3 linked regions of the Coturnix japonica genome follow. The protein of the gene in region 1 purifies or fractionates together with the protein of each later gene. This does not show direct contact. Links are inferred from orthologs where the notes say so. Each region holds a gene or a part of one and is shown on either strand. Other genes may lie near its edges.

What was found.
Region 2: the proteins of PIP4K2A (region 1) and AHCYL1 purify together in Homo sapiens (co-immunoprecipitation; 3 studies listed by BioGRID and IntAct, counting the BioPlex papers as one, with this or other methods). This does not show direct contact. The link is inferred for Coturnix japonica from reciprocal best matches to the Homo sapiens genes PIP4K2A and AHCYL1.
Region 3: the proteins of PIP4K2A (region 1) and UBE2H purify together in Homo sapiens (affinity purification with mass spectrometry; 3 studies listed by BioGRID and IntAct, with this or other methods). This does not show direct contact. The link is inferred for Coturnix japonica from reciprocal best matches to the Homo sapiens genes PIP4K2A and UBE2H.

Annotation. Positions count from the first base shown.
Region 1 is NC_029517.1:15,958,217-15,965,826, reverse strand, and holds part of PIP4K2A (phosphatidylinositol 5-phosphate 4-kinase type-2 alpha), read right to left. Parts: intron 5,263-7,610; coding exon 5,116-5,262; intron 2,361-5,115; coding exon 2,322-2,360; intron 1-2,321. UniProt on the Homo sapiens protein: Catalyzes the phosphorylation of phosphatidylinositol 5-phosphate (PtdIns5P) on the fourth hydroxyl of the myo-inositol ring, to form phosphatidylinositol 4,5-bisphosphate (PtdIns(4,5)P2). Has both ATP- and GTP-dependent kinase activities.
Region 2 is NC_029541.1:1,675,708-1,684,117, reverse strand, and holds the start of AHCYL1 (S-adenosylhomocysteine hydrolase-like protein 1), read right to left. Parts: upstream 4,424-8,410; 5' UTR 4,238-4,423; coding exon 4,130-4,237; intron 2,069-4,129; exon of another isoform or gene 1,851-2,068; intron 1,763-1,850; exon of another isoform or gene 1,641-1,762; intron 1-1,640. UniProt on the Homo sapiens protein: Multifaceted cellular regulator which coordinates several essential cellular functions including regulation of epithelial HCO3(-) and fluid secretion, mRNA processing and DNA replication.
Region 3 is NC_029516.1:910,770-918,884, reverse strand, and holds the start of UBE2H (ubiquitin-conjugating enzyme E2 H), read left to right. Parts: upstream 1-2,600; 5' UTR 2,601-2,615; coding exon 2,616-2,655; intron 2,656-3,815; coding exon 3,816-3,891; intron 3,892-4,388; coding exon 4,389-4,511; intron 4,512-8,115. UniProt on the Homo sapiens protein: Accepts ubiquitin from the E1 complex and catalyzes its covalent attachment to other proteins. E2 ubiquitin conjugating enzyme that transfers ubiquitin to MAEA, a core component of the CTLH E3 ubiquitin-protein ligase complex.

The sequences.
Region 1 (7,610 bases):
ATCTCACAATAGCAGGTACTTAACACTGCTTTTATTGCTTCAAAAACCAAACCCTCCTTGTCTGTTCATACACAAACACATCTAAGCATAAGAGCAGTTCTTTAAAAGTAGTTTATGTAAGGAAATCAATTCCTATTGCAGGAGTTCCAAATACCTACAATGAAGATACTTGTGTATTCTGACCCTTTCCAGACCAAAAAAACAGATTTCAAAATGCATACAGAAAGCATGTAATAAGCAATATATCAATTTTTCCTTGCTAGATTCTTAAAGAGCTTGTATAATGTTGTTCCCTCTATGAAGCTACCAGTCTACCCAGTTCATTCTCCTGCTTAGAAATGTTTGTTCTGAGTGGTAGTTTACCACCTCTTTGCTGAATTATGAGTAGTAAGAGTCTGTTCTAGCAGCCAAAGACTGTCTGCATACAGCTCAATACACTTCATGTAGTTCTGTCTCTGAGAAATCAAATGCATTTGAAAAGACTACAATGTGTGAAACTTAGAAGATTGGAAGGAGAATCTTGGGGAGCAATTTTTACATAGCTTTCATATAAATACACAAAATGAAAGGGGAGGCTCCAGACATACAGAAGTTCATAGGAATTTTATCATTGGTCTTGCTGAAGTTAAAATTTCATGTTTTATACATGGAGAATAAGTTTTCTATATAGTTATACAGCCTTGTTACAGATCAACTATAATCAATTTCAATAGCAATTTTGCCATGGACTTGTCTGAGAACTAATCACTAATTTAGTGATTTTTTTAGGTTTGCACTAATTATATAGTAATTAGATATATAGTTAATAGCTATATATAATCAGTATATCATGATTTATCTATTATTATTTTGAGACATATTCCTAAAACTCCTCGAAACATAAGCACCAAATATCTGCATAGTATCATCTCTTTCAGAGCTAAACGTGTAGTATTAATAAAACATACTATTATTCCAAGCATTACTATTGTAATAGTACTGAAGCAGTCACATCCAAGTAATTTGTGCTCCTCATTTCTATCGGATAATTTCAGCACTACCAGCAGAGGCTTTCAGTGACACTGGATATCACTTGCAAGAAACCTGAAGAGTTAACATCCATGTTCTAAAAGCACTAGAGCTGTGCTACTAAACAGACTGCAAGAAAAGAATGAAGACCATTCAAGAAATGATCTTAAGGGCCCAAAACAGAAAAAGAAAAGCTAATGCAGATTACTGCAATGGTAAGTGACATCTGTGACATCTTAGCTGCACACCACTGGAAGAATTTTAAGTGCTCAGCCATGCCTTAAGAAGAAGTGGAAAAACTCAGCACATAGAGTTTTTCTTGCAGCTGGAAATGCATCGCTGGCAGCTATTTTACGCCCCTTACCGCGGCTGTGTGATTCACAGAAGAGTTAAAGAGGCTGGTATGGTATGATTAATGCTTAGGATAAAAACAAGTGATAGGAATGGAATTTGGGGACAAAACAAAATGAAGTCTTTTAAGCAAACTGCTGAATGATCTTATGCAACAGCGTAATTCAGAAGAATTATGGGAAACTTAGGAAAACTAGTGTCACAAGTTCCTAGACCATTCAAAATTTGGAGATCTAAGAAGTCTTACAGAATGGAGACTATGTCCCGCTGTCAGTTATCTGCAGAATCTTCAGACAAACCTTAAGTGCCACTGAATTTCACTGGAACCTCACAGAACAATTTGAGAATGTTCAGTTTTCCAAATGAACACAAGTTGCAGATGGAGACAAACAAAGTGACCAACTTGCTTTAAGAGCAAAGTTCCATCTATAGAATTTGAAGGAGGCTGCTCACTCTCATTACATCTATGTATGTCCATGCCTGTCAGCTGTCGCCTCGTTTGAACAACCTTTACATAACCAATGGTTATCATAATTCAAGGTTTGATTCACTTTTACATTTACAATAGAGTAGCGCCCCATCACATAGTTCCATAAATCTGTATCTATAAATCTTTATATTAAAGAGCAAGAAAAAGAAGATGAAGAAGCAGGAAGAGAATGAAGTTCCTGATGTTTTCCTACAACAGGGCAGGCCCTGAAGAAACTAAGAAGAGAAGAGAAAAAAGGAAAAGGAGGAGGCAGACGAGTGGCTCACTTACCTCTGGACTTTCAACACCAATGCAAACCAACAGTCAAAGGTCTGCAGTAAATAGAGGAAAGATAAAGGACGGAATAAGGTAGAACTCAAGAGGGAGAATATGACAGAAAACAAAGAAAGGGGGCAGAACAGCACTGATTATGCTTGTCCTGACACTAGCTAGCAGTTTAGATAACTGAAAAGTAAACAGAAATGCACCATACCTTTTCTTTGTCACTGGCTTCTCGAGCCACAGTAGAGCCCTGAAACAGAAAAAATGGATCTAAAAATGTGCATATGTCAGAAACTAATTTGAAAACTTTACGATAACAGGTCAAAAAGTGGATGAACTGCATCCTTCCGAAATTAAGAAGGTGATACAGGAGGTAGAATGTCTTAAAACTTCTGCCATAACTTGAAGAAGATGTATCATGTGAGAAGAAGGATGGATTAAATCCTCAAACGCTCTCTATCTATTGCCTCTATGACTGATGGGGGTTGCTTCCTCATGTCTCATCCTAATTCTGAGACAACCTTGGAAGTTCAGTTGGCTTGGCAGACTTCTGACCTGTCTGTGACAATTTAGATGTACAGCCTACTTGTCCCACAGTACCCTTGTGGGACAGCCTACTCTATATAACTTGGGCACACGTAATACACATTTTAAAAGGATGTCACACAACATAAGACACACAAATCTATTTTAAAAAGATCACAAAGTACAAACAAGAACAATGTACCTCACAGCAGCACAAAGTCAAAAGAAGAGATGAGATCAACAGTGGATCCAAAAGATTTACAGCGTTTGCCAATGGCACAGTGGATATTTTAAGATACTTCATTTTTAAACAACTGGAACTAGTACATAATGTGGCACTTTCTGAATAAGCTGGAGGTGGCAAAAAAAGGGCTGTACATATTTCTTAACAAATTTCTTGATGCAGGACCCTATGCCTTTAAGTACCCAGAGTTTATCAGGTAACAGCACTGCAATAAATAGCACCCATAATTACACCTTCATTACAATAACGTGGTAAGCACTGGATATTGAAAGACTGGGACATCAACTCTCTCTTGTTGGAAGGGTAAAGAAGTACTCGAGAGGGTTTACACTAGTTTAAAGAATGTGAGGATTCACAACCACACATTTTTATATCATATTTTGTTGTTTGCAGAGAAAACGTAGAAAGAACAAAGAGAAAAGACAAATGGACAGCAGACCCTCAGTATTATGTATAGTCCAGCAAGCAGAAATTTCATTTCAGTATATCTTTAGCTGATAAAGAATTTCAACAAAAGTCTACAATATTTTAGTTTACTGAATTACTTATAGTGTATTCTTTGCTCTACCACCCTCCAGGACTATTGGGTCTGGACAACGATCAGCAGAAAACCAAATGAGGAAAAAAACATTTGCAATAGTAAAAAATTTGGAGGTTGAGAAATTTATCACTGAAGTAATCTTTTTCTTAAGTCTCGGTGGACAGGAAAATAACTTTGAAATCCTACGTTGATCTGTAGTGGAGACTTTTGTCTAAGCTGGTGTCAGAAATACCCACAAAAAAGGAGTCTGAACCTGTAACTGCAGATGCTGTATCAATGAAATGAAGAAAAAAACACCTATTTATAATCCTTGCAGTGTCGTTACAAATATGCTGGGGGGAGGTAATTTTCAGTAATAATATGACATTGATGCTGAATTTAAATTGCCAGGGAAGTTTATCTTTAAGGCAATTTTGCCTATCTGGACAAACCAAACAGTATACAGAAGTATTCACAGAGGTAAGCAGCAGCAAGTGCAGTGCTGCTTAGATCAACAGTAAGAATGTATTATACGCAATTTGATTTTTGCTGTTGTACTTCTGTCCCTCTTTTAATGCGTATGGTCATTATGATGCTCTAAAACACAAGTAGTTCTCTCTAATTTTTGGAAGTTACTCATTACCCATTCAGGTATGGGATTGGTCACTCATTCTTAGTGGCACTTCCGGAGAAAATACTCTAAAAAAAGGCAGCCTATGGTTGAATAGTTGCTTTCTGCCCCTCCACTAGTCACATCATGCATCAACTGGGTTATTTCAAATGAAAAGCAGCTTAACTCTGAGAGGGTAAATTCAAAGAAGAGCAAAAACAGAATTAGAAACATCTTCTTTCTGTAAGCTCTGGCAAATACTGAAAACTATTAAGTCAACAATCAGGAAATCAGTTCTCACATCAGGTTCAGTTTCTAGCTAAAAAACTAGGAATGGCTGCTGCAATATGTAGCATTACAAACCTCTTAATAAGAGCTAAATAAATATCTTAAAATAAGTATGCAGATGCACGTAGTGATTCAACACAGAAGTTAAATGCATTAGAATGAATAGGTTTCTAAGGGAGATTTTATGGAGGAAATAAAAACAATCCCTTATGTAGAAAGACTATGAATGTATTTCAAGCCTTTATTCTAAGTGCTGAACATTAAATATCAGCCAAATTACATTTTAGAACAAAACTAAAACACACCTTATGATAAAAACAAAAGAAATTCTGCATTTTAAGAGCAATTCTCTTCTTTCTCAGAGCTATTTTTAAAATGCAGTAGGAAATATGAAGCTTCTGTAGAAGCGATGTACTTTATAGTAGCATTTTATTGGTTTAAATAATGACCTCATGAAGTCATTTTATCTAAGTCCTCTGGACAGTCAGCTGCGGCCTTCCACAATGTTGAGAAAAGCCTACAGTGAGCAGAATTCTTATCTTACTTGTGTGATGTGTTTCACCCTTAGCCATTAGTTATACATAACAAGTATCTTTGGTAAAATCACTCAATTTAAAACATTCACAATACAGATAAATCTGTAGTCCAGCTTTGCCAAGCTTAGATGCAGAAGTACACCAGCTAATCATGATTACTACACAGCTCAGGTTTAAATTCATTAAAACTTTGAGCAATCTTCAATCAACAGCAGAATCTAGCATTTATATTGAAGATTTTCAGCTACTTTTTCAGTTGTTTCATCTGCAGTTATTTCTCACCTTTAAATCATATTTTCTATACACAGATAAACGATGGCTGAACACATTCCTTGTAACAATCATATATATTTCAACTCCATCGACAGTGAGCCGGTACATGCCCAAGAACTGGGGGAGAAGCGTGTTCCCATGACACTCCACAATAAACTGCAGAAGCAAAAGAAAAAACAAGAATGAGGATGGATATACAGGATATAAATATGTATTTACACATCTTAAAAGACGAAACAACCAGAAACAACTGGTTTATCAATCTGTTTATCAAACATATATTTGGGTGGAGACAAAGCCCTGCATTCAGGTCAATGTTTAAAAAATAGAACTGTCAGCTGCTTAACTTGTCACTTCTACAGACGATGTCACTGTGAGAGCTGGCTCTGTGTGACAGACCAGCCCCCTGTTGTGGTCCAAAAGCGCACCTCATGCATATTTGGTACTGGCATAAAATAACAAACAGAAACAGTTTTCCAAACATCACACTACTGTATTTTATACTCTGTTATCCCTTATTTCATCTGTTCCTCCACTCTCAATGTGGATAAGTGTCAACCACTTATGGCGCTGTCACCAGCAACAGGTATTATTTGCTACCAACTGTGCCCCAGCACTTTGCTGCTCAGAGCTGAGCAATGACATACAAGGACCTTTCTTCAATTTCAGATTAATTTCATTTCCCTAAGGACGCACCCTAAAAACAACCCTCTGGCAAGAACCAAAGTGAACAAAGCTTGAAACTACTGGCTGTGAATAGAATAAAGTTTAGACTAACAACTTGGACACACCTGCAATTCAGGCTTTAACAGTTTAGGTTATAGCAACATTTTCTGTCTGCCTAACAGCTTTATTGGAGGTTACAACCCATATATAAGCCACAGATGCTGCAGTCTAGCACTGTAAGCTCACACCCCCAAATGCAAAGGAGCCTGATGGCCACAAAGGCAATTTCAGTACTAAGTCCATGAAGATCATCCTGCATCTGAGAACATTTCTGTTTTTAACAATTGGTGAAGTAGAGTTGTTGAATTAAAGGCTTTCTGACCACAGGACTGCGTACTGGATACACAGCTCATTTTGCCCACCAGTAATTCCTTCTGAAGATCTGATCATAAAGAGAAATTACAACACTTAATGTGAAGGTTACAGAAAACGTATTTAAAACAGTAATCCCTGTTATTCAGGCTGCACTGCTTACAAGGTTATAAATATCAAGCATTTGGCACGTATCCTAAAGGCTGATGTCTTTCTAACGTTTTAGAAGGTGCTAAAGGTTGTTCTCATAACAACATTCATTGAATGATTTCTTCTATACAATGATTAGTTTCTGTAATGATGATAAAACAAATCCACCACAGTCACCTCAAGGTGCTTTTTAGGAATGGTTTCCTAAAGTTTCCCAGTCACAGCTGGAATAAAAGTGAGGCTAGAAAATAAGCTGGTACATGCTTAACGGGACCGCTAAATTTCAGTGGAAGAAAAGACTTCCAGTCCTTTATGTTAATTCCTTCTAAAAAGAGCATTAAAATAATTCTATCAAGCAGCCTTGCTAAATAAACCTGTAACACTTCGCTAATGCATTTACAGGTCCTTATACAAAGTAACAAAATCCATTTTTAAAGAGTGCTAAAATAAACACCCTATCATTTTTTCTTATTAATTCCGCCAATTTTCATTTTTCTGCACAGCATGAGGACAATATTACCATTAACAAAATAAAGTATCGTCAGCATGTTGACACATTCTATCAGCCGAGCAGCACAGTTTTCAAATATGCAATTTTCTGAGCAATCCTGAACCCCATGCTTAAAGCTGAAAATAAGAAATTCTTTATGACCTTTTATTCTCATTATTCTTTGTATAAATATGGCCTCAAGATTCCTTAATAAGAACAAAACCTACACTATCTCATTTTACATGAAAAATATGACTCTTAGCTTCCTCTTCTTGGTAATGTTAGTAAGCCATCGGGGTGACTATAAGATAACAAAGTGCATACAACTGTATTGGTAAATATTCTCTGCCATTTCTGGCTAGTTTTGAAGAAACACAGGGTAAAATTCCCCTGTTTTTGCATTTAGCTTTTCTCCTAGAAGATAATTTGTGGAATGAGTTTAACATTAATGAAGACTAGTTCCTCCAAGTGCAACATAATCTGAACATGATCACTGGATGTGATTATCTAGGCTGTTTATCTGCTACCAGGAACATCATTCTCGATAATGCTATGATCAGATGAGTCATTGGGCTTCCCGTGTCTTCTGGAATTGCCCCGAACATCATCAGTGGCAGAATTATAGATATACTAAATATGTAAGAAGTAGTTGCTGGTGAAATCTAGGCCTCAATACTGCAGCCAAATTCATTTTGCCATTCTGTGTAGTTAAATATCTAGCTAATGAAATTTCTCATCATTCCATGAAGTTTTTCAACACGTTTTCCAGTAACAATTCCAGTCCATGGTGGTCTGTCCCACTTGCACAGGTTAAATTCCATCTAAT
Region 2 (8,410 bases), on another chromosome or scaffold:
CAACCTGAAGCAAACAGATTGTGCAGCAGTAATAAGCTCGTTACCAAGGCCACTGTATTGATCCCCAAGTGGAATTCAAAGGCTCAGCTCAAGCAACCAAGGGGATCTCCCAAAGGCAGCCAACACCTCCTGCTGCGATGGGAGCCCTGCTGTGACGGGGGGGACCCTCTGAGCCCCTCAAAGCAACCTAAAGTCAAACAGAAAGGGTGGCCCCGTGCTGCCAAAGCATTGGCACAAGGTCCCCTATGGGCAGTGCTTGAACGTCACCGTGATGCACCAAGCCAACACGAGGCAGAGTCCCCAGATAAGCAGCCTGGATCAATGGGCTCAGCAGGAAGAGAAGCAAAGCCCTCTGCAAACAGCAGCTCCCAATGATAACGAGTGTAAATCTGGATGTGGTGCTCAGCAACTGCACGAGGAGCAGGGCACGGTCCTCACCTGCAAAGCCCTGGGCTGAACCAGCTGCTTATGGGCAATGCTCACTACCTGGCTGCTTCCTGAGCAGGGATGGCACGACCAGGATCCACTTTGGGGTGGGATCCTGGCACAGGGGAAACTGTCAGAGTCCCAAAGAAAGTATTGGTGTAGGCTGGACCCAGCCCGGCTGTGTGTTTGGGGAACGGCCTAAGGAAAACAGTGCTCCTCCCATGCCCACATCAGGGTTAGCAAGCAGGGCCAGGAGCCCCAGAGCTCCCCATCAGCTGTGTGAGCTGCTTCCCTGCTCCCAGCAAAGGCCAAATCAGCCCCTGTGCTGAGCAGGGGGACCCCCACCGCCCCCACACACTGCATTGCACATGGGTATGGGAAGGGAAAAGTGTAGGAGATGATAATAGAGCAGATGGTTGGGGAAGGAAGGAGCAGCTGAGCACACAGCATCTGGGCTGGGAAGCAGCAGAGGAGGTGGCCACAGTGAGGGGACAGGCAAAGAGAGGCAGGAAGGATTCAGGAGCAGCCAAGCTAAGGGATGGAATCAAAGGAAGAGCAAAAACAAGCGGCTCTGGGGGTTGATTCAGTGCAAGGGCAGCTCTATCCATGAGATATAGAGAGGGGTGGGGGGCTCAGGAGCAGAGATGTGAGGGCAGAAAGCAACAGGGCTGAACCCCAGCACTGGGAAGGGGCCGTGCAGAAGCAGAATGCAGCAAGGTCAGGCACTGCTCAGCAGCAAAGAGCTGCAGCACAGCCTGCTCGGGGTCCCCCCCCCCAGCTCCATATCCATGTCCCACAGCACTGCAGGGCCACAGCACCGAGCATTGAGCTGGAGCCCATTCCACCTTCAGTGCATGAATAAGCAGATCTGTCTGCAGAGGACGAGAGCGTCTGCCTGTCCAACAGCGCCCGAGCGTGAAGGTGCCTGCATGGAGATGCTGCGTGCAGGGTCACAGTAACAAACAGGGAGCAGGCATGCAAAGCCCCCCCAGCTCAAGGGCACACACACACACACACACACAGAGCACAGCAGGGAGCTCAGGGCTGCAGCAAACAGGCTGGGAAATGCAGCTCCAAGGGCAGCTGCAGGTCTGTGGGTGCAGGCAGCATAAGTAGCACCCAGGGAGCTGGGAGAGCACGCACTGCCCTTCTGTTCTCCTCCATCCCCAAAGCAAAGCACCCCCCACCAAAGCACAAGGCTCAGCATCGCTCACCTCTGCCTGCAAAGCTCTCCCTGCCCAGCAGCCCAATGGCTCCCACTGTTTTGTCCCCGGGAAGCAGAGCAGCAAAGGAGCTGCAAGAGGTTGCAGGCGACGCCAGCAGCTCCTGGAGCAGCAGCGGCCGCATTGCTGCAGGGAACCCCCAGCTCTGACGGCTGCAGCTCCGACTTCAATCCGATGGCGTGTAATCTTTTAATCTCTTACCTCCTGCTGTTTCACTTTTTCACCTTAAGCAAATCAGGAGAGCGATGCTGAAGGGTTCCGATGCAGCCCATGTGTTCCCCCTGTGCTCAAGGGGGGGCTCCAAGCTGGGGACACCCACCCCATGCACTGGGACAAGGCAAAGCTGCTCCCTGAGGAGCTCAGCTCACACAGCTCAGCTCCATCCCAGTATCAGGGCACACACTGTGTCCTCCAGCTCCACCTCTCAGCCATCTTCAATGCTGGCCACGCTCGGAGCAGCCGTAAGCAGCTTTGGCTTGCATTAAAACCAAGAGGCGTTTGAATGGTTCCATTGCAATTGGAAAGCATCTGAAATGCCCAGAGCTGGGGGCACTCAGCGCTGTATTGCAGGGTGATTCTCCATCCTTCTCCTTTCATCCTCCTGCCAAGGTTTCCCCTATAACTGAGCCCTATTTGCACAAAGCAGCCATGCAAGGAGAGCAGCAGCCCCGAGCGCTTTGTTCCTTGACCTCAGTTGCATTGCAAGCTCCCCAGGATCTCAATGCAACGCTGATGTTATCAGCATCAAATGCCTCCCGTGGCTCAGGGCACCTCCACCATCACAGCGCTGCAGTGTGACGGCTGCTCTTGGTGCTGTGCAATGCAATGCAATGCAATGCAACGCAATGCAATGCAACGCAATTCAATGCACACAGCAGCACAGCGAGGTAAGGAAGGATCCCAAACCAACCCGAGCACAGACAGAGCTCTGAGAACACCAGGATTCCCCCTGGATACACTGAGGTTATTTCTTATTCCGTGGGTATGATGCTCCAGGATTCATTGCTTGCTCCCAGCTCAGCCACAGCCTCACCCTGTTACCATCAGCTCCATGACCAGCCCAGCTCCATTAAATACAAAAGCAATAAGAACACAAACCCCCCCTACAAGCTCCCAGCTCCACATTCCTCCGCTCCTTCCTTCAGGCCACATCCAAAGCCTGAATAAACAGAGCTGGGCACGACAGCCTCCAACCCTCCGCTCCCATCACATCCCAGTGCTGCCATAACCACCCATAGGGGGGTCCCCAATGGGGGCTGTGTCCCCACTATGAGCACACGGGGACCCATAGCAAAGCACTGAGCCCAATGGGGACACCCTGAGCCCAGCACACAGCGATGTGCCCACCTATAAGCCCCGACAACAGCCCTACATGGTGGGGCAGCACTCAGCTCTCACCCCATGGCACCATACGGCCCCATACAAATCCATAAGGCCCTATACAGATCCATACGACCCCATACGGCCCCATACAGATCCATAGGGCCCCATGCGGCTCCATACAGATCCATAAGGCCCTATACAGATCCATACGACCCCATATGGCCCCATAGGGCTCCATAGGGCTCCATAGGGCTCCATAGGGCTCCATAGGGCTCCATACGGATCCATACGGCCCCATACAGATCCAAACGGCCCCATATAGCTCCATACAGATCCATAGGGCCCCATATGGCTCCATACAGATCCATAAGGCTCCATACAGATCCATACGGCCCCATACAGATCCATAAGTCTCCATACGGCCCCATACAGATCCATAAGTCTCCCCATTACGGCCCCATACAGATCCATAAGTCTCCATACGGCCCCATACAGATCCATAAGTCTCCATACGGCCCCATACAGATCCATAAGTCTCCATACAGATCCATACAGCCCCATACGGCCCCATACGGCCCCATAGAGATCCATACGGCCCCATACAGATCCATAAGGCTCCATACAGATCCATAGGGCACCATACGGCCCCATACAGCCACATACAGCCACATACAGATCCATACAGCCCCATACGGCCCCATATAGATCCATATAGCCCCATACGGCTCCATACAGCCCCATACGGCTCCATACCGATCCATACAGCCCCATACAGATCCATACAGCCCCATACGGATCCATACAGCCCCATACCGATCCATACAGCCCCATACAGACCGATACAGCCCCATATAGATCCATACGGCCCCATACAGCCCCATACAGATCCATACGGCCCCATACAGCCCCATACAGCCCCATACAGACCCATACAGCCCCATACAGCCCCATACGGATCCATACAGCCCCATACAGCCCCATACAGATCCATACAGCCCCATACAGCCCCATACAGCCCCATACAGCCCCATACAGCCCCATACAGCCCCATACAGCCCCATACAGCCCCATATTGACCCCATACAGCCCCATACAGCCCCATACAGCTCCATACAGCCCCATAGGCCCCATTCCAGCCCCTATCGATCCCGTTGTACCTTCTTGGGCGCTTTGGTAACGGTGGCCATAAAGGAAAACTTCTCAGCGTCCTCCGCCTCCTTGGCCTGCTTGGCCTCCTCACCGCCGCTGGGCTCCGGGCCCGACATCGTGTCTCGAGGCGGAACGGAGGGGTACAAGGGGAGGAGGAGGGATGGGCCGCCCCGGTTCGGTTCCGTTCGGTTCCGTTCGGTTCCGTTCGGTTCCGTTCGGTTCCGTTCGGTTCCGTTCGGTTCCGGTCGGTTCGCAGCGCGATGCGGCGGACACTGCGGGCACCGCGCGGGGCGCCGGGGGCGGCTCTGGAGTGACGTTAGTGCGTGATGACGTCATCACGCGGCCGCTGGATGAGTGAGGCGGGGAGATAGAAGAGACGGGATGGAAACGGGAGCGGCACCATGGCGCCACCTAGTGGTGGAAGGGGGGAATGGACCGCCACGGGAGGACTATGGGATGGGATGGGATGGGATGGGATGGGATGGGATGGGATGGATGGGATGGATGGGATGGGGATGGGTGGATGGGGATGGCGGGGGATGGGATGGGCATGGATGGGATGGGATGGGGTGGGATGGGAATGGGATGAAAATGGATGGGAATGAGGTGAGAAGGGATGGGATGGGTTGGGATGGAGGATGGATGGGTTGGGATGGAGGATGGGTTGGAATGGAGGATGGATGGGATGGGATGGGATGGGATGGGATGGGATGAGGATGAGGACATAATGCATAAATAAACAGATAAAAGAATGAATAAAGAAGCTTAACCCCACTATGATCTGATTCAGTCATAAATAAACTGAGAAACAGAGACATGGAATGGTTTGGGTTGGAAGGGACCCAGAGAATCCTCGCCCCCACCCACCTCCCTTCCATCCTCCTGGAGGGCTGAGCTCTCTGTTCTGCGCTGGGTCAGGGCAGCCCCAAGCACAGCTCTAGGGGCAGCCAGATCCAAGGAACAAGCATCCATCATGGTGGGGACGGGCTGGGATGGGCTGTAATGCACGGGGGGGGGGGTCAGCACCCTCAGCTCAGCCCCCCATGGTGCTCCCAAGGGCCACGTCCCTCCTTGATACGGGCTGATGGTGCTGCTGTCCATCCATCCATCCATCCATCCATCCATCCATCCATCCATCCATCCATCCATCCATCCATCCAGCACTGAATGGCTCCGCTTCCCCCTTGGGATCCCCATTTCCCACCCTTACCCCCCCCATACCCAGCAATGGGGTTACACACATGTACCTCCCCTCATTGCTCGTCCCCCCTCCAGCCCCACAGCGATGAACCCACAGAGCCAGCAGCGTTGCAGCATCGCAGCTCATAGTTTTCCCCTTAACCAAAACTGCTCTGTCTGACCGCAGATCGGGCCCGGGCCGGTCCTCACTCGACACAACCCTCCATCCCATCAGGGTGGCCGGGATCGCTCCGTTCCGTCCCTATAACCCCCAGTGGGGAACCGCGGCCCCGCGGTGCTTTCCGGGACGGCGCTGCCCCGTCAGCAGTCTGCGGCCCCATAGGGAGGGCTGTGGTCCCTGCTGCCCCATAGGGAAGGCTGTGGTCCGACGGTGCCCCATCCACAGCCACCCCAGTGCTGATGCTTCATCCCTCCCCCCCCCCACTTCAGACTTTGGGTTTTCAGCCCCATCTCGGCACCTCACCTGCTTTTAAGGTGTAAAAATCCCCCCATGGGGGCTCTCCTTTAGGAGGGATGATCCCCCTCCCTGCTGTAGGAACATGGATTGGCTCCATCCCCCCATTAAAGCTCCCAAAAATGGGCTCTGAGCTTTTGCTCCCCCCAACCCACCCTTAGGGCTCCCAAAACTGTCAGTTTTACCCCCAAAATCTCCTCCCCGTGCCTTCTCCCCCCATTTCTCCCCCCCTCCCCATGGCCTCTCCTCCATCCCCACTGCCCCACAGCCATCATTCAGCTTAACCCTCCATCAGGGCAGGGACTCGCTGCCCCCAGCCCCCCCACAGAACAACCCGAACATCCTCTGACCCCAATCACCCCCCCACACACACACACAGACCATAATCACTATGGCCCAGATCCGGACGGATATATATAGGTCCCACTTCCTTGGGAAGGGGATGTGGAGCTGGGAAACCCCCGGGGCTGCAGGGGAGAGGAAGGGCTGGGCTGAGTCAGCTGCCCTCGAGGAATCCTGTTTGTCAGCAAACACGGCCCTATAGGGCCCACATGGGGCTCCCCCCATAGCGAGCAATGGGGGGCTCATCCTACAACCCCAAAGCTGCAAAGCCCTGAGCTGCACGTCCACCACAGCGCAGGTGACCCTATAGAACTCACATACCCCACTGAACCCCCCCCAAACCTTCCCATAGGGAACTGGATTAGCACATAGAGAGGGATGGGGGTCTGGGGTATGGGGGGGGGGGAGATAAGAAGGAAATGCCTCGTGCTGCTCTGCCTCTCCAAGTGAAGTGCTTGCAGGAAGTGAACCTCAAGTGTGTTTGCTTTTAGCAGCTGCTTTGCCTCCTCCTGCATTCATTGCAGGGTCGGGGGGGGGGTGTCCAGCCCTGCACCCCCCCCCCCCATTGGCAGTGTGGGGATGGGGGGTGGCAGGAAGGCCGGGTGCATCCCAGTGACCGTGAACTATTGTATGGATCAACAGGAAAACAGGATCAGGGTGAGCCCTGATCCCAGCCATACCCAGAGCTCACCCTGCAGCCCCCACTACATTGAGGGGGGGGGGTTATAAGCATTGGATCAGCCCCAGCTCGGGGCCAGAGCAGCCTGGGGTTAACACACCATCCTCCCCCAGCCTTTCCCATAGGAGAGGGACAGCCCAAAACGGGACCAAAATGAGACAGCAGAGATAGAGAACTGATTTCCCACCATCCCTATATCTGCTATGGGACCAAGTGCCTCCCCCAGCCCCAAACTGTGCCCCCCCCCCCCCCCATTCCCAGCTCCCACACGGTGGTGCTGCACGTCCATCTTTATTAATAACATTAAATATACAAGCTGTCTTCTCTTCTTTTTCCTTAAATAGACCTTCTTTAAATGACTTTGTATAAAATATTTCCACCATTTCGCTGTACAAAAAAAAATGAGACAAGAGGCAGAAATAGCCCCAAAAGCTGCCGCCCCCCCCCCACCTTAAACCCCCCCATTTCCATGTGCTGAGCCAGCACCAGCTCAGCCCCCACTTCCACCCCCCCCCATTTAATGCCTCTTATTGGCAGTCCATAAATACGCATAGAAAACCAAACCCTAATGCTTCCAAAACAACCCCATAAAGCTGAGCGTGGCTCCGTCCCGTTCCCTTTGGATATAACAGATATATAAGGGAGGGCTGCTGTGTGGGCTGGGATGCAGTTTGGGTTCGGCTGCACCCCAAACCCATTCAATCAATGGTGCCATGCTGTGCTCCAGCAACTTAAATCCAGTCTGGGGGCGAGACCAGCTCGCAGCCATAACCCTGCAGGGAGGGGGGAACCCCCCCCAAAGTGCATTGGTTGGATAAAGGATTTATCCATCACGTCCATATTGAAGCTGAGCAGCTCCCAAGTCCAGCTTGGGATTGTGAGATGGGGACGGCACCGCGGGTCTTAAATATTCACAGTGTGAAGGTTTCCCCTTTGCAGGCCCATGGATCCTCAGTGGGATGCAGGAGGGGTCCCCCCCCCCCCCCATAGGGTCCCCCAGTGCCGGGTGTCATAGAGGAGCAATGGGAAACGTGGACGGATGGGGGGAGATGTTCCACTCGCAGCATCCAACGCCGTCCCAATGGAGCCCAATGGTGCCGCCCGCCCCATCTCCAGGGTCCTGGGGGGCTGCACCGCCCCGTCCTTCCATCCTCACCCGTGGGTTGTGCGGGTTCCAGCTGCGGGACGGGGCTGGGGGGTCATTGGATGGGGGGAGGCCACACTACAGCCGTCCCCCCCACACCGAGCAGCGTCACATCCCGCCGGGGGGCGCTGGGGAGATAAAGAGGGTGGGAAATGAGGTTATGGTGGGTTCGAACTTCAGAACGGTTATGGATGAACGGGCTGCTGAACCGCCCTGCTGAGACTCAGCCCTGCCGTGTCCCCTCCCAGCCCAGCCGGGAGACCCCCCCCCCACCCAAAGATCGGGGTCCTGCCCCCCCCCCTCACCTCACAGCTCCTGTGTCTCCAGCTCCGAGCATCGCTCCGCTCCCCGCAGCGCCCTGAGGGGCAAAACCCAGCGGGGGGTTTAGGGCCGGGGTGCCCCGGTTGGGGTAAGCGTAGGGTGGGGGGGGGTCTCCAGATTGGGATGGCACCCACCTGGTCTCCGGCTCC
Region 3 (8,115 bases), on another chromosome or scaffold:
TTGTTCTGTGCTCACCTGGAAGCCTGCAGGGTTTGCACTGCCTTGACAGTGCTTGCAGCTCATCCTTCAGTGCTCCAGGTTTGCTGTGGCAATGGGAATCCCTCTCCCCTGCTTTGTGGGGTGGATCATAAGGTCTGCATAATTATGCCCACAAAGGCTCCTAGTAGGGGCAGGAGCTGTATAAGACAGCTGTATGCCTGCAGCAGACCCATAAGCACCCCCCAGTACACATACAATTCTCCTTCCCTTTGTGGATCCCTCTGTCTTACTCCTGCAAAAGCAAAACCAAAGTGCTTCAAATAAGAGCCCCGACAAACTTTTCTCCTTAAACCGTCTTGTTAATTTTTAAAGCAGCAGGAATTGGGCAACAGCAAGCTTAATTAGGGAGGGAAGATCTGAAAGCAGCCCAGTGTGCAGTGATTGCTGGTTGCATTTCTCAGCACCTGTTGGTACTCAGTGCCCTTCCTAAAGCGTGATTGAATTGCAGTCACAGCCAGGATAAACAGAACAGGTTGTTGTTAAGGTAGGAGAGTGCCCATGGTTAAAGGGCTGCTGTATGGGGTGGTTTCCAGCCCCATAGCTGTCCATTCTGCTGTCTGCTTAAATCAGAAGTGATGTGATGCAGACAGAGAGGTGTCTGGATTTTCTGCTTGGCTGTCCTGGATGTTATTTTGGCACAGTTTGCTGAACACCATGTTTGAATACTGAACGTGGCTGATATACCTGGGTGTGCATATAGGAGTCCAACCTTCATTGTGTGTCTTATTGTGTGTGCTCAGCTCTTCTCCTTTCACTCCCTCCATTTCCCCGTGGGTTTTGTCCGTGTATTTCTGGAATAACGAACGCACAGCGCTGCTCTTTTGTTTCTCCTCACCCAAACAAAGCTGTCATGAGTACAGAATCACACGACTTTGCCCCCTCTGCTTTCTTGTAGGTCAGCCAACCTGCATACCCAGTGCTGTGGGCACGCTGCCCTCCACCAGAAAATGCTGGATCTCATTCTTTCTCCCCAGTGCTGGATCTCCTGCTGCATCCCATGCAAAGCAACGAGAGTCCCTTTTATTGCTGCCACAACCACCACCCTCTCACTGCTGCTTTTTTCTTACCATTCATTCCTGTTTCTTTCTCTGCCTTTTTGGGATGCTTCAAATTGCTCCTCGATGCTGATGTGGTTTTGAGGACTGTTTGGCTGTTCCAGGGAAGTACATGCAGCTGCTTATTTGTCACTAAGGAGATCCGTGCTGAGGTTCTGCCAGGTTCTTTCCCATCCTGTTCCTGCTCAGTCCTTTTGGCCACCCATAGGGAAACGTGATATCGTCATCTCCAGTCCCTGTCATCTTCCAGTCCCCCTCATAATGATCTGCCTGAGATTGAGGGTGGATTTACAGTCCTTGGAAAAAAGGTGATTTCACTCCCTCTTGGGTCTTCTCTAATGATTCTCTGCAAATTGGGGCTGATCCTGGATTCAGGGCTGAGATTTTTTGTTGTTCTCGTTATTGTTACAGCTTCCAAGAACTGTCCCGTGGCCTTAAATCACTGGACTGCATCTCTAAAGCAAATTGATGCGGCCTTCAAAGCGAAGCCCAAACACTCATAGCTCATGTTCTTGGCATCGCCTGTTTCAGATCACTTAGAGGGTACGTCTGTGTTGTTCTCAAAGTGAAGCATTGTTGGTATCCTGTTGTCTTGAATCCCTTTTAAACTGCAAAATGCAGAACACATCCATATATCCCACATGCAGATCGTGGCAGGAAAGCAAAGAAGCCGGTGTAGACTTGTTTTCTTCCTGATGCTCCCTTAGAAATGAATGTTGTAACATTTTTGTTAGGCAAAGGCTGCATTGATGACAGTTGAAGCTCCTTAAGGGGGCTCAACCCTGGAGGCATTTGTCATCCCTTCAGTGGAAGGTGGAGGTTAAAAGCTGACAGTTGATTGTTAGATAAATTTTTGCATTATTTCCATATTCCAGTGGGTTTTTTCACCTGGCCTTGAGCAGTGATGGAGGAGGCTGGTTTTGGGGGGGGGGGGGGGGGGGGAACCAACATGTGAATTATGGATGTGCAAATCACTGCTGCGTTCCTGGCAGGGAACTGCTCAGGTAACAGCTCTGGGCCTGTTCTAATGATGGCGTCGTGGTAGGATATATTGGAATGGAGGTGAGTAAGAGGAGGTGGTGGGACACATCATGAATGCATGGGACTGAGAGAGGATGAGTAGTGCCTATTCTCCCCCATGCAAAGTGTGGCACTAAAAGGTGACCTTAAGTTTGGGTGCACTCAAGAGAGGCTTCTGCAATCTGGGAAGTCAGGTTTGGGCTAAAAGCCATTGGGGTTGAGGATAGGATTATAGGATATTATATATAGGATAGGTATTTTTCTGTTATCAAGGATAGTGGGCCATGGTGGTGTTGATCTGATGGTCAGATAAGATGATCTCAGTGGTCTTTTTCAAGCTTAACAATGCTGTTATTCTTTTTAGGACGTAATTTAGTGGGCATGGTGGTGAATGGTTGATGGTTGGACTGGAAGATCCTAGAGCTATTTTCTAACCATATTAATTCTATGATAGCTCCAAGTCACTGGAAGAAGAAGGAGGAATAGGAACCTAAAGTCTTGATGGGAGACTCTTGGAGTGTGGGCAGAAACTTCCTTGGAGGTGTGGTTTTCTCAGCTGCCTGCTGTTCTTTATATATAAAAGGGGAAAAAACATAAAAGTGTGCCACTAAAGCAGTTACCCATGTCCTCGACTGACCTCTAGCATGGTCAACTAATACCTGCAATGTTGAAACAGCTGATGAATTATTAACTTCGGTGCTGTGGTGTCTCTTGGCCGTTGGTGTTATGTTGATTCGTCTCGATGGTGGCGGGGCTGGTCGTGTTTTAGAGCTGTGAAATGAAGCATTGGGGCTGAGGACAATGTCCAATGAGACACCCACTTTTTTTGTGTGTGCTCTGATAAGAGCATAAACCAGGACTGATGGAAGCTCGTATGAGATGTTGCTCTTTGAGGTGTCCCTGGGTAGATGTGGCACTGAAGGATGTGGTTTGGTGGGTGTAGGTAGACATGGTTAGACTGGATGCTCTTAGTGGTCTTTCCAACTTAAATCATAGTATGGCTTGTATTGGAGGGGACCTTAAAATATCATTTATTTCCAACCCCACTGCCATGGGCAGGGTTGCCAACCACTAGATCAGGCTGCCCAGGATCCCATCCAGCCTGGCCTTGAATGCCTCCAGGAGCATAATGCATTCATGACTCTATGATTCTGTTTAGGAACATGGCTTAGTGGGTGTGGTGGTGATGGATTGATGGCTGGATTTGATGACCTTAGTGGTCTTTCCAACCTTTTATTGTTCTTTACCTTTTGTAAAGAGTTCAATTTTATGGATCTAAATAGGATTAGAAAAGCGCTACCAAGGTGTAGTTAATATTTGGTGGCTGGCATGGATGTGATCTAAGAGCTGAGGCTCAGTTTTAAGGACAAATAAAGCTGCTCCTTTGAGTCGTGCTCATTCAGCTGTGAATGGCTTAGAGCCAGGTCATTTTCTTTTGCAAAGAATCAGATTTGGCTTTCAGTGTGTGGAGAGTTGGTTGAGTTTGGGGTTGGTTTCTTGATGTGTTTTTCTTTTAAACTCAGAATTAAACTTGGGAGATGTGCACCAAGAGCAATGCTTTTAAACAGTGGTGGAATGGAACCATGAAATCAATGTGGAGTTTGCGATAGAAGGAGTTAATGATAGATGCCATCCAAAATGTGTCCTCGTGTCCTAGCTGATCTCAAACTGTTTTATTTTGAGGGATGATTCCTTTTTTAGGGGCAGAGAGAGGTATCTCCTGGCTGATGCCTTCAATCAAAACTTCATTAGTGGGAGACTTCAGAGCAGGTGGAAGGTAAAGCTCTTTTAGTGTGTCCTGTCTGCTTGAAGCCAAATGAAAGCTGTTTTTTCTCCCATCTAGTGCCATTAATTCAAGCTGGCCGACCTGCCCTCCCCAATCTTTAAAGCCAGTCCAACTGAATGCGAATACCGAGGGATGGTATCATGTAGCACAAGCTTTAAACCTCACAATAATCAGGCTGCTTTCCTGCTGAGGTCATTTGTGACAGAGGGGTCCTGTGTACAGGGAGATGTGGCAGTGCAATGCTTCCCAAAGCATCTCCATGACTTAGGGGGGGGTTGGGAAAGGTGATGTCCTGAGCTGATTTCAGTGGAAGTTTGGGAATGGCCTTGCCTTGTAATCCTCTAATTTAAGACTGTAAACTGGAGGAATGAAAGAGCCCTTCCAGGAGCAAAGGCACAAATGTTCAGACTAACAGATGTGACTCAGCACGGTGATGCTGGCTGCTCTTCAGTTGCTGCCCAGCGCACTCCCTCCTTTTTCCCTTTAAGACCAGCCACGAGGAAAGCAGTGGGAATAAGGGAGCAGAACGCTCAGCACTTTGTTGAACAGCCTGCCATGGTGGGGAACTCGATCCTCCCAGCAAGCAGAGGAATCCATGTGCGGTTATTGGGGTAAGCTCAGATCCCAAAAGGAGAACACGACAACGGTGACAGGCAGTACAGGAGTTGAGATGTCCGAAATCAGATCCTTGTAATGCAGCACCAGAGCCTGTGTTCCTTGAAAGGGAAGGTATGCACCGAGGTGTCAGCTCACCCTCCTCTGTCCCATGCAGACCGTGCAGGGAAGTGTCCTGCTATGAGCTGCTGCTTGCTTTTTTAGGATTGTGGGCACTAATGAGCTCGTGTGCCTGGCATTGGATTAAAACAGATTCTGGCTTGCTTGTAGCTGGTGAGAAAGTTACGTTAGGTTGTGTTTTATGTTTTACTTCTTTGTTTCTGCCGTGTGTTCTTTTGTTTGATGTGAGCAGAAGGTAAAGGTAAGTTTATACACGTGGTGTTTGGGCCAAGAAGGATAAGAGTTCACCAGCAAATAGCCACGCTCTGTTAACTTACCCAAAGGCCAGTGAGAAGAACAGGGGGAATCCCACAGCTCTAGTTGTGCAAACCTGAAGAAGTATATCCCTATGGCTTCAGCAAGTGAACCCATAAGCCCCATTTTGATTAGCAGTTGAATTTCCCCAGGGTCGTGAGATTTGCATCGTGCCAAATGGGGAAAAAGATATACATGTATTATGTACAGGCTGCCCAGAGAGGTTGTGGGTGCCCCATCCATCCATGGAGGTGTTCAAGGCCAGGTTGGATGGAGCCCTGGGCAGCCTGGGCTGGTATGAAATGTGGAGGCTGGTGACCCTGCCTGTGGCAGAGGAGTTGGAGCTTCATGATCCTTGAGGTCCCTTCCAACCCAAGCCATTCTGTGATGATTCTATTGTAAACTTGAGCTGCTTTACAGTGAGGTGCTCAGGATCACCTTTACAGGGTGATTTTTGTTGTAAAAAGGAGAACCTTTCAGCGCTTCAGCATGATGCATGGGGGAAAAATACTGCGGGTTAAGCAAAGATCCGTGTGTTACGCCTGCTTAGTCATACCCAGAAACGTGTTCCGTGGGGGTTAGTTGTGCAGAGAGCAATTTCAGACTTGTGCAAAGGTGCCTTGGGAGATCCCAAGCACTTCTTGCACCTCTGCATATGGTCTCAGTGCTTCCTATGCTTCTTAGTCTTCCTTTTGCTTTTAACTGGAGTTGGCTGTAGGGATCGATGAGGAACTGCTTTAGGTCTGCCCTGATGTCTCTTGTCACAACCAAAAGTTTTACTCCTCTACTAAAAGAGTATTGCGTGGTTTGATGTTGTTTCCTTTTTTGGACTTCATTTTGCCTGCTTGCAAGAGCTTCCTGTGCAGCCTGGCTGGGGTGTAACTGGATTCTGCAGGCTGCATTAGGGCTTTTTTGTGGTTTTATTGCTGGTTGGTTGTTGTTTTTTCTCAGAGCCTCTGAATACATCCAGGTTAGTGAGCCCTTAAATTGTCCTTCCTGCCTTTTAGTGGCTCCCAAAGTCACTTTCTTTGCTTCCTCCCTGAAGCCCAACGTTAGTTAGGCCAGTTTATTCTCAGAAGCTTTCTGTAGGCTTGAGTGGTACAAGAAGCATTGTGAGACATGAAAGCTTTGTAATCCCCTATGGCTTTTATTTCTAATAACTGGGAATCTACTGCTGAATGCTGGGAGAGCCCACTGCCAGCTGTGAAGGGTTTTACATTCCTTCCCAAAGAGCTTCCAGCAGGAGATGTCCCTTCATTCTTCAACAAGATGCAGGATGGATCAGCAGATCAGAAGCCGAAGCTGCTGGGCTCAATCCGTGCCACTGCTTTTGGGTTGGAATTGATAACTGCTTCTCACCATTCCTTTCTGAAGTCACCCAGGAGCTACAAAGGCTCTGCAGCACTCACGTCCTTCTCACTAGACCTGAATGGAGCTGACCAGGCTGTCACATGAGTCACAGAAACCCACATCAGCCGTTTTTAGGTCATTGCCAGACGGGGCTAAATTTAGCAGATGAGCCACAAGTGTGAGGCTTTGCATCCAGCTCCTGCCTTACAGTTTCCCTACAACTGCCCTACAACTCCTCGTACATCTCTTAAAGGTGAGGGATGAGATTCTCCACCCCTTTTCTGTTCTGAATCCCACAGAGCACAGCCAAGACTTGCTTGCGGAGTTGCTCAGTGACAACGTATGAAGCAGAAGAAGGGAAGAGCACAGTAATAGGATCTGGAGCTTTTCACCTCACGGATTATTGCCTTGAATCCTTGTCTGGGTTGCCAGTGACGCTTCCCTGGGAGGAGAAACCTGATGGTTTATCATCCAGCTGCATCCACAACCACATTTCAATGCTCCTGGAGGTGTGTGCCAGTCTGGGGGGGAGCAGCTCACACCTGGGGCACCTGAAGCAAAAAGCATCCCCAACCATCTGCTCTTTCAATCCCCACATCTCTGCTAAAATAGTCAGGAGCAAAGGAAGGGGGGAAGAATAATACTTCTGCTGACAGCACAGTGGGAAGTTTCAGTCCTGCTGAGAGTGATGTGCTGGTTGTGCAGTCCCAAGCTGTTCTGTATTTTAACTTCATCAGTCGTTTCTGGGTTCTGATTGTTTGCAGCAGCACGTTGGTTCATTAGGGTTGGGGTTTTTTTTCTTTCTTGTGTGTGCGTGTGGATTAGGAATATTGTCATCAAAACCGGCTTCGAGTGTGTCAAGTTGTCTTCATTCTGATCTATGAAAGGAGGCTGCGATAAATGTGTGGCTTTGAAAGTCTCGCTGGGTCTGCTGGAGGTCACCTGTAATTCAGAGCATCTGGCAGAGGTCAATGCTGGGCTTTTTGTTCTGTGGCATTGCCAGCTTTGGGGGTTTTTTATCAGCCCTTCATTTGAAGGAGGAGACACTTCAAACTCGGTGACAAAATCCCACTTTTCAGGCAGCTGCACCGCTAACGACTGAACTGTGTTAATTAGTTCTTAGTGCGGTGGTGTTCCTTTGTCCCTTCTATAATGATGACTCAAACAGATGATGTCAAGGAATCTTCTGTTTCAGCTGAATTTAACTAATTATAAGAAATCTTTGCCTTTGCTTTCCAAAGCTCAGGAATGGTCTAAGAGCTCGGAATCGCAGTGGGCCAACAATAGGATTTGTTTTGATAGAATGGCTTGTATTACGAGGATGAGTGCAAAACTCGATTATGGAGTTCATTTTAAAATGAACTGCTTTTATCAGCCACGTGACAGACTTTCAGGTATTGCTGCTCCTGCAGGGAATAGCTCGAGGCAAGCTCTTGTCCCCTGGCAATCAGAAATCCACGGACATAAATTGGGATGGTTCATTTGTATAACCCCCCCAGGCTCTTGTCTCTGGTTAACTGATGTGACTCTCGTTAGGGAATTGGGAGAGAAGGAGATAATTAAGCTTGGACAGATGGACTAGGACAGGCTCTTGGCTTGGAAACAAGGGGGCTGGATGATGTGCTCCTGACCTGGGGAAGCAGGGCAGGGTGAGTTTGTGTTTGCCCATCCCAAAATGGACTTTGTGCTTTAGGATGAGAGACACGGGGACTGCTTACCCCCAAGTGCTCTGAGATTATCAGAGGGGAAAGCACCTCCCAAATGCCGCTGGAGAAAGCTCTTGCTTTCCCCCCAGGCTCAGGGAGGTTGTTTCAGAGGAAACTGCCTGCTCAAAGC